Xenopus tropicalis: one gene and its partner. The protein of the gene in region 1 purifies or fractionates together with the protein of each later gene. This does not show direct contact. Links are inferred from orthologs where the notes say so. Each region holds a gene or a part of one and is shown in the gene's direction. Other genes may lie near its edges.

Region 1 (3,753 bases):
AGTGTGAGTAGGGTAACTGAGGGCAGTATATGACCCCATAGCTCTATGTTTAGTTACATACCTTGTAGCCCCCCACTGCCTCCTGTAGGGGCACGAGCGTATGAGGGGGGTGCTGTTCGGTGCCATCCCTGCAGGAGGGGCACATCAGCCTCCCATCCTGGGTGGAGAATAAATGCAGCTTCTCCCCGTGTTCCGCACAGGCGCCCCGCTGCACTCCGTCGGGGGTGGGCACAGAAGGGGGCCGGCACTTGGGGCAGGTAGGGTAGGCCTCTTGCCCCCTCCATGCCCGCTCCAAGCATCCCCGGCACAGGCAGTGGCCGCAGCTTAGGGTGACCGGCTCCCGGGGCACATCGTGGCACAGAATGCAGCTGAGAGAGGGCAGCAGGGGCAGTGGGACTGGGCTAGAGGCCATGGCGGGCACCTGTCTGTCTCGCCTGTTAGTGCCAATCAGATGCCAACTGCTGTCTCGCTTGCCTCAGTCACAGCCCTGGGCCCTTACCCATAAACCACGCCTGTGGCGCTGTGCCTGTGTGTGGAACCTCTCACTAACCTCACCTGTTTGTGCCACTTCTGTGCCCGCCTCGCCCGACGCCCAAACCTCTCTCTGACCCCCAAACTGTCTCCTAGTTCCTATTGTTCATTCCCGCTACAAGGCGGTCACTTTTTCACCTGATCTTTCTTTCCTATTTACCCCAAATGTGCCAACTGTCTCTTCCTGACCAATATTTCTACTCCAGAGCAGTCTCTTTTTTTGCCTGTTTAGCTCAGTCTAACCCTAGGCTGTCTCTTTAAATCTGATTGGTCACTGATCCTTCTCACCAACCCCAAGCTGTCTCTTCCTGCCTATGGGTAATGTATGTGACCTCAGGCTGTCTCTTACTGTCTCTTTGACCTCAGTGAATGGCTTCCCCTGCCCACACCCTTTTTCCTCTCCACTCCCTGAATGTCTCTTACACCCCAGGCATCCAGGCCAGGCCTTGGAGCTGTGCAGTCTCTCTATTGTTCCCCTGGCTGTCTCTTGCCCCTTCTGCCACTTCCTGGCTGTCTCTATTTCCCTCTCTCCTCCCTGCCTGTCTCTCTCATGCGTCTGTCTCTCCAAGCTGCATGAGGAGTGGGGGAGGGAGAACACAGGAGAATGGGGGAGGGAGCCGAGGAAGAGGAGGAGGGGGGGGCAGGGGGAACGATGTGAATGAGAGGGGGGAGGAAGGGGGGATGACAGAAAGAAAAGGGGCGGAAGGGAGAGAAAGAATGGCCAGGGGGGGGGATAGGAGGGAGGGGAATGGCGAGGGGGAGGGAGCAGGGAAGGGAGAGGAGGGGGCAGCAGTTAGACGGGAGGGGGCTGGGAAATCTCTGCTGCTGAACTGCAGCACTCAGGCCCTTTATCTACTGATACTCCCAGCACAGGATACAGCATTGCTCTGGGCCTCTGAGGTGACAGCCAATCAGCGAGCCGCACTGAGGCATTCAGCTCGGATTTAAAGGGGACGAGGCTGACAAAGGGCGGGAAACTGCATTGGCTTCGGCGGTGCGTCCGGCAGTGAGAGGGTTACCTGTCCGGGGATGGGAGGAGCTGCAGTGGGAGGGGCGGGGAAGGGAGGAGCTGCAGTGGGAGGGGCGGGGAAGGGAGGAGCTGCAGTGGGAGGGGCAGGGAAGGGGGCGCTGGGCTGCTGGGAAATGGGAAAAGGGGGAGGAATGGGTAGGGGAGGAGGGAGCCCCCCGGGGAGTGGCACCCAGGGAAGGAGTCAGGGTGATATAATACTGTGGCATCATTATTGTAGCCTTCCTAATAGCCTCAATGTGATTGGTGCGGGGCCCCCGGATAGTACGTGAGGCCCCCGGATAGTACGTAAAGCCTTAAGTGATTTGGTTAAAGCGGAGTGAGGGCGGGGCTGCAGCTGTACGTGATTTATCCATATTTACCCACAGCCAGTGTAACAAATGGGCAGAGTAAGGGCACAGGGACCTCACTCACCCATTGGCCAGATGGCTATCATGTGACCTGCTGGGAAGGCTAGTGCCGGGCATTCCTGTCACACTGGGTATGTGAGGGCCCCATAGTGATGTGAGGGCTTCCCCGGAGCGCCGAGGGAATGGGGATGAGGTGATTCCATGAGAAACTTGTACTTTAATGAATGCGCTAATTAGTCACTGAGGAACAGCGGGCTTTGCCCCTCCCACTTTGTGCCTTACGCTCCGCCGTCACCGCTTCCAACGCAAGTTACGCAAGCTTCCAGGCAATTGGCGTATATTTCACCGTTGCTGTTTAATGCGTCTTCACGCAATTTACGTAACTTTGCGCTAGGCGTCCGGTCCCGCTTCTGATCAGTATTTCATCGCCCCGGGCCAACAGCGCCCATCTCTCTTGTGAGAGTAAGCAGTGAGGGGAATTACACAGGGGCGGGGTTAAATCACTAGCCCTCTCTGTACTTCCTCTATGGGTTACTGAACGTAATCTCCTGTTGCTAGGCAACAGAGGACACTGGCGTCGGCCCGCCTCAGTTCGCAGCAGTTATCCCGCCCCGTTCCTATTGGCTGGCCGCTCCGCTCCCAGGCAGCGCAGGATTGGGCTGCACCTTCCCTACTCCTGAGACCCGTATTACATCCGGGGACCCCGCAGCGGGACAGGAACCAGGTAACCAGCCTTAAAGGGGCCGGTGTGTCACCTACTTCCGGGTTGGGCGATTATCCGGGGGCACTGTGCCTGGCAGGGCTGCGGGCTGAACACTGGAGCTGTCTGGCCTGTCTGTGGGCTGGGCGGGTCCCATCATAACCTGGGGCTGGGGGAATACTGGGCTGAACCATCTAATGCCAGGCTGAGGGGGTAATACTGGGCTGAACCATCTAATGCCAGGCTGGGGGAATACTGGGCTGAACCATCTAATGCCAGGCTGGGGGGGTAATACTGGGCTGAACCATCTAATGCCAGGCTGGGGGAATACTGGGCTGAACCATCTAATGCCAGGCTGGGGGGGTAATACTGGGCTGAACCATCTAATGCCAGACTGGGGCTGGGGCAATACTGGGCTGAACCATGTAATGCCAGGCTGAGGGGGGAATACTGGGCTGAACCATGTAATGCCAGGCTGAGGGGGGAATACTGGGCTGAACCATGTAATGCCAGGCTGAGGGGGCAATACTGGGCTGAACCATCTAATGCCAGGCTGAGGGGGGAATACTGGGCTGAACCATCTAATGCCAGGCTGAGGGGGGAATACTGGGCTGAACCATGTAATGCCAGGCTGAGGGGGGGAATACTGGGCTGAACCATCTAATGCCAGGCTGAGGGGGTAATACTGGGCTGAACCATCTAATGCCAGGCTGGGGTAATACTGGGCTGAACCATCTAATGCCAGGCTGAGGGGGGAATACTGGGCTGAACCATCTAATGCCAGGCTGAGGGGGTAATACTGGGCTGAATCATCTAATGCCAGGCTGGGGGAATACTGGGCTGAACCATCTAATGCCAGGCTGAGGGGTTAATACTGGGCTGAACCATCTAATGCCAGGCTGAGGGGGTAATACTGGGCTGAATCATCTAATGCCAGGCTGGGGGAATACTGGGCTGAACCATCTAATGCCAGGCTGAGGGGGTAATACTGGGCTGAACCATGTAATGCCAGGCTGAGGGGGCAATACTGGGCTGAACCATGTAATGCCAGGCTGAGGGGGCAATACTGGGCTGAACCATGTAATGCCAGGCTGAGGGGGGAATACTGGGCTGAACCATGTAATGCCAGGCTGAGGGGGCAATAC
Region 2 (3,753 bases), on another chromosome or scaffold:
AAGGGCTGTTTGTGCCTTGGGCTGGTACAGAAACCCATAACATAATTCACAAAATTTCAGCCCTACTTCTTTGTTAAAAAGTGTGCACAAAAGAAATTATTTGTGTACCCTGCCAAGAAGAAATTGGTTTAAGGGCACTGCTGTATGGGGCAGATTCTGCAGTTAACTTGCAGGCCGAGAATCTGCTGTGTGGCAGTGCCCTAAAAATCCCACTGGCATGTTGATGAGGCCTACATGGGTGCCAATTATGTTTATGGCCCTAGGGAAAAAGTGGCTGTTTAGTTCAAAACTAGACAGGTGTCAACCCCCAAGTGCACTGACAAGTGATTCCTGTGTTAGTCCATTCAGTGGTCATCTTTAGTGTTTTACCAGCTGCTAGGGCTGTCCAGTGCAGCCGTAAGCACCAGACTTCTGACCTCGCCCCCCTCGTATACAGCTACACTTTTTTTCTTTTTAATATAGGCACCCCTAGCGCTGCCCTACATAAATATGGCCCATGCACCCATGAGCTAAATCATGCACAGGGGATCTTGTCTGAGCAAGATCACCTTCAGGCTGGGCTTTTAGAACTATCTCCCAAAATAAGAAATATTTCTTTAACGTTGCCCCATTTTCAGCCATGATTTCAATTTATGGCGTTTGTAACTGCTTACAAAATACAGTCTAATTCAAGATTCCAGAAACATATGGGATAAACAGTCTAGAAACTCATAACAATCCTATTGGGTGCGAATCGAATTACAACCCTTCCCCATATATTTCTACATATAACTCCCCAGCCACTGTGTCACTGCCGGTTTAACACGTTGTGTGTAAATCACGCACACATATTTGTTTATATGTTACATCACACGTTACACCCTTGGTTCACTCTACACAAAACATAACTTCTGTGGCAAAACAAACTACTAGCAACCATGGCTCAAATATCTTTAAACAGTAAGAGCTCTCGCTGCTAAGCCACAACTCAACCAATCCTCCAGCAACTATACGCTGGGCGTTTCCCAAGAACGCCCACCAATGCGCCCAGCTTCACCTTAGCAGCTGCCAATTGGAATTGCCAGTAAAGCACCAAGAGCCAATCACAAGGCTGCTTGCGATGACGGCGGTATAGCGTATGGTTTCCTCGCCGCCGCGTTGCGCATGTGCCCGGCTTTAATATGGCTACCCCTGTGGATCTAGAGCTGAAGAAGGTAATAATAATTGTATTTCATTTATACTAATGATTTTTATCATGTACGTGTTTTCATGTAAGTGTATGTTTATATAAGAATTCAGATGCTGGTGAATTCACGGTGCCTGCAGGATGAATGTGCTTTTGGCTGGAGTGCGGCCAGGCAGCTAGTGCATACGCTCGGTGGAATGCGAATGTAGTCGTTTTTGTATTTCTAGTAGGGAACTGTATTTGTAGTAAAGAATTTTGATATCATTTGATTTGTGTGTGTGTATATATATATATATATATATATATATATATATATATATATATATATATATATATATATATATACATATATATACATATACATATACATATACATACACACACATACATACATACATACATACTCACACTCTATAAACCCATAGTTCTATAAACGAACACTTGTTTTTTTCCAAATACATAAAGAAGGGAAATTTAATAAAGTATATTTACTATTAATGTAAGATTCATCCTTTTGGAAGGCACTATCTCCCAGTGCATTGTTTATTTGCAATTAAAACAGTCTTTAGAACGCAAAAACATTGCTGTTAAATCTTTGCTTACACCTAAAATTTGGGGGCTTAAGTGTTTAGTAAGATTGGAGATAAATATCACTGGTGATGTTGCCCATAGCAACCAATCAGATATTTGATTTTCATTTCTAACTTGTAGGTGACTGTTCAAATCTAATTCCTGATTGGTTGCTATGGGCAACATAGCCAGTGATATTTATCTCCAATCTTACTAAACATGCCCCTGTGTCCTACATCTGTGGTTTGCTTGACAGACTTTTTCAGTTCAAGCCCACCTTGGAGCCCAGTTAGTTCATAACAAGGTGTATGGAAATGTTGTATCAGCTATTCAGGAAGGGCTCCCGGAATACCCATTTTCACACCAAATTTCTCTCTAACTGAGCTTCTCGCTGGGTTTTTAGAAAAATAGGCCCTCAAGTGGGCCATACAGGGGCCCATTCAGACCAAGTTGACAACATATCAGCCTGTTTATGAGTAATGTGAGACTGCTTGACTGACATTTGCAAAGGATGCACTTTTACAAGCAGAGTAGTTTAAAAACTGGATAGTTTCTAAAATATTAAAAATATTACCTGCTTACACAATCTTGGGTGAAACTCAGATGTAGAGATTGGCAGTGGCTAGAAAGCATTAGCGAGGACAGCACTTAGATACAAATTGTTTAAAACCATGTTTTGTATTGCAGGCTTTCACAGAGCTTCAAGCCAAAGTTATTGATACCCAGCAGAAAGTTAAACTTGCAGATCTACAAATTGAGCAGCTAAATAGAACAAAGAAGCATGCATATCTTACCAATGCAGAAATTATGAACCTGTCTGATTCAACGCCTATGTATGAAGGAGTAGGAAGAATGTAAGTAATGCTGTTTTGCTTTAATCATACAGTCATGCATTAACTTGTCTTTTTAAGTGTAAATTGTAAAGAAAAGTAGACCTTCGGCCCACTCTCCCCTTCTCTGTTCACTCAATTTCTTTAATCTCTTAATTACGCAGTTTTACATAATATTATCTATCCTTTCCTCCATTTCTTCAGTTTCTTTTCATATAGGATTGAGTAATGGCCATGGTATACGCATACAAGGCAAATGGTTGGGTGAGCAGGAGGGCCCACTGACACTTGGGCCACCGGGAGTTTTCCTTGTATCCTGGTGGGCCAGTCAGACACTGCACAGACCTACCGATCCCTTCGAGGGCCAAAAGACAGAAAAAATACAAGGGACCATATACTCTATGGATGCCTTTCTGTTGTTCCTTGTATTCATAGGGAATGAAGGGAACAGTTCCTCATCTTCCATACACAGGCTGTAATGGGTTCTTAGCAGGTTACATATTTATACCCACCCAAATGACAAACCAATCAAAGTACATGGATATAGGCTGCCACGCACATACTGAAAATCGTTAACTGTGTTCCTATGTAATCCCCATTTGACTGTGCCAATGACTGTATTTATAGACTGGCTATTGTTAAAAACCAAGAACTTTTTGGTTTTCTTACATAACCATTGCTGTGGAGAATAGAAAGTACTTATTCATAGGCGAATGATTCAATATTAACACATTTCTAAAGGTGGAAAGCATTAAAGGCCAAAAAAAATGCATTAGTATTTCAGATGCTTTAAATGTTCCGTATGCCTTTAGAACAGAAAGTCTACATTTAGGAGGGCGTTATAGTCACTAGTATAAGTGGAACTTTATAGTTTAGGTAATCCATTGATCTCAGGGAACATGCTTATCTGCAGCTGGGAAGTCCATATATATTAAAATTTAGTTGAATGCGCTTGAATGCACTTGTGCAATAGCCCTCTACAGAGGGTTCTGAACAGCAACTTCATTGGAATAGGCCATACATAGGCAGATTTAAGTCAAGCACCAGCCTAGGGCACAGAACTCTTTTGTTTGTCTGTTTCCCCTTACTTCGGGCCCCAGTTGACTGGGAGAACTGCCAGAAGTCAGAGAGAGCAGCCGCTATTTTGCACTCGCTCGGGGGGGGAGTGGGTGCAGTATAGCCGTCGCT

The links. The genes of interacting proteins can lie anywhere in the genome.
Region 2: the proteins of mapk7 (region 1) and pfdn1 purify together in Homo sapiens (affinity purification with mass spectrometry; 3 studies listed by BioGRID and IntAct, with this or other methods). This does not show direct contact. The link is inferred for Xenopus tropicalis from reciprocal best matches to the Homo sapiens genes MAPK7 and PFDN1.

Annotation. Positions count from the first base shown.
Region 1 is NC_030685.2:7,130,080-7,133,832, reverse strand, and holds the start of mapk7 (mitogen-activated protein kinase 7), read left to right. Parts: upstream 1-1,319; 5' UTR 1,320-1,525; intron 1,526-1,858; exon of another isoform or gene 1,859-2,101; intron 2,102-2,374; exon of another isoform or gene 2,375-2,632; intron 2,633-3,753. UniProt on the Homo sapiens protein: Plays a role in various cellular processes such as proliferation, differentiation and cell survival. The upstream activator of MAPK7 is the MAPK kinase MAP2K5.
Region 2 is NC_030679.2:31,788,436-31,792,188, forward strand, and holds the start of pfdn1 (prefoldin subunit 1), read left to right. Parts: upstream 1-1,063; 5' UTR 1,064-1,160; coding exon 1,161-1,193; intron 1,194-2,422; coding exon 2,423-2,589; intron 2,590-3,753. UniProt on the Homo sapiens protein: Binds specifically to cytosolic chaperonin (c-CPN) and transfers target proteins to it. Binds to nascent polypeptide chain and promotes folding in an environment in which there are many competing pathways for nonnative proteins.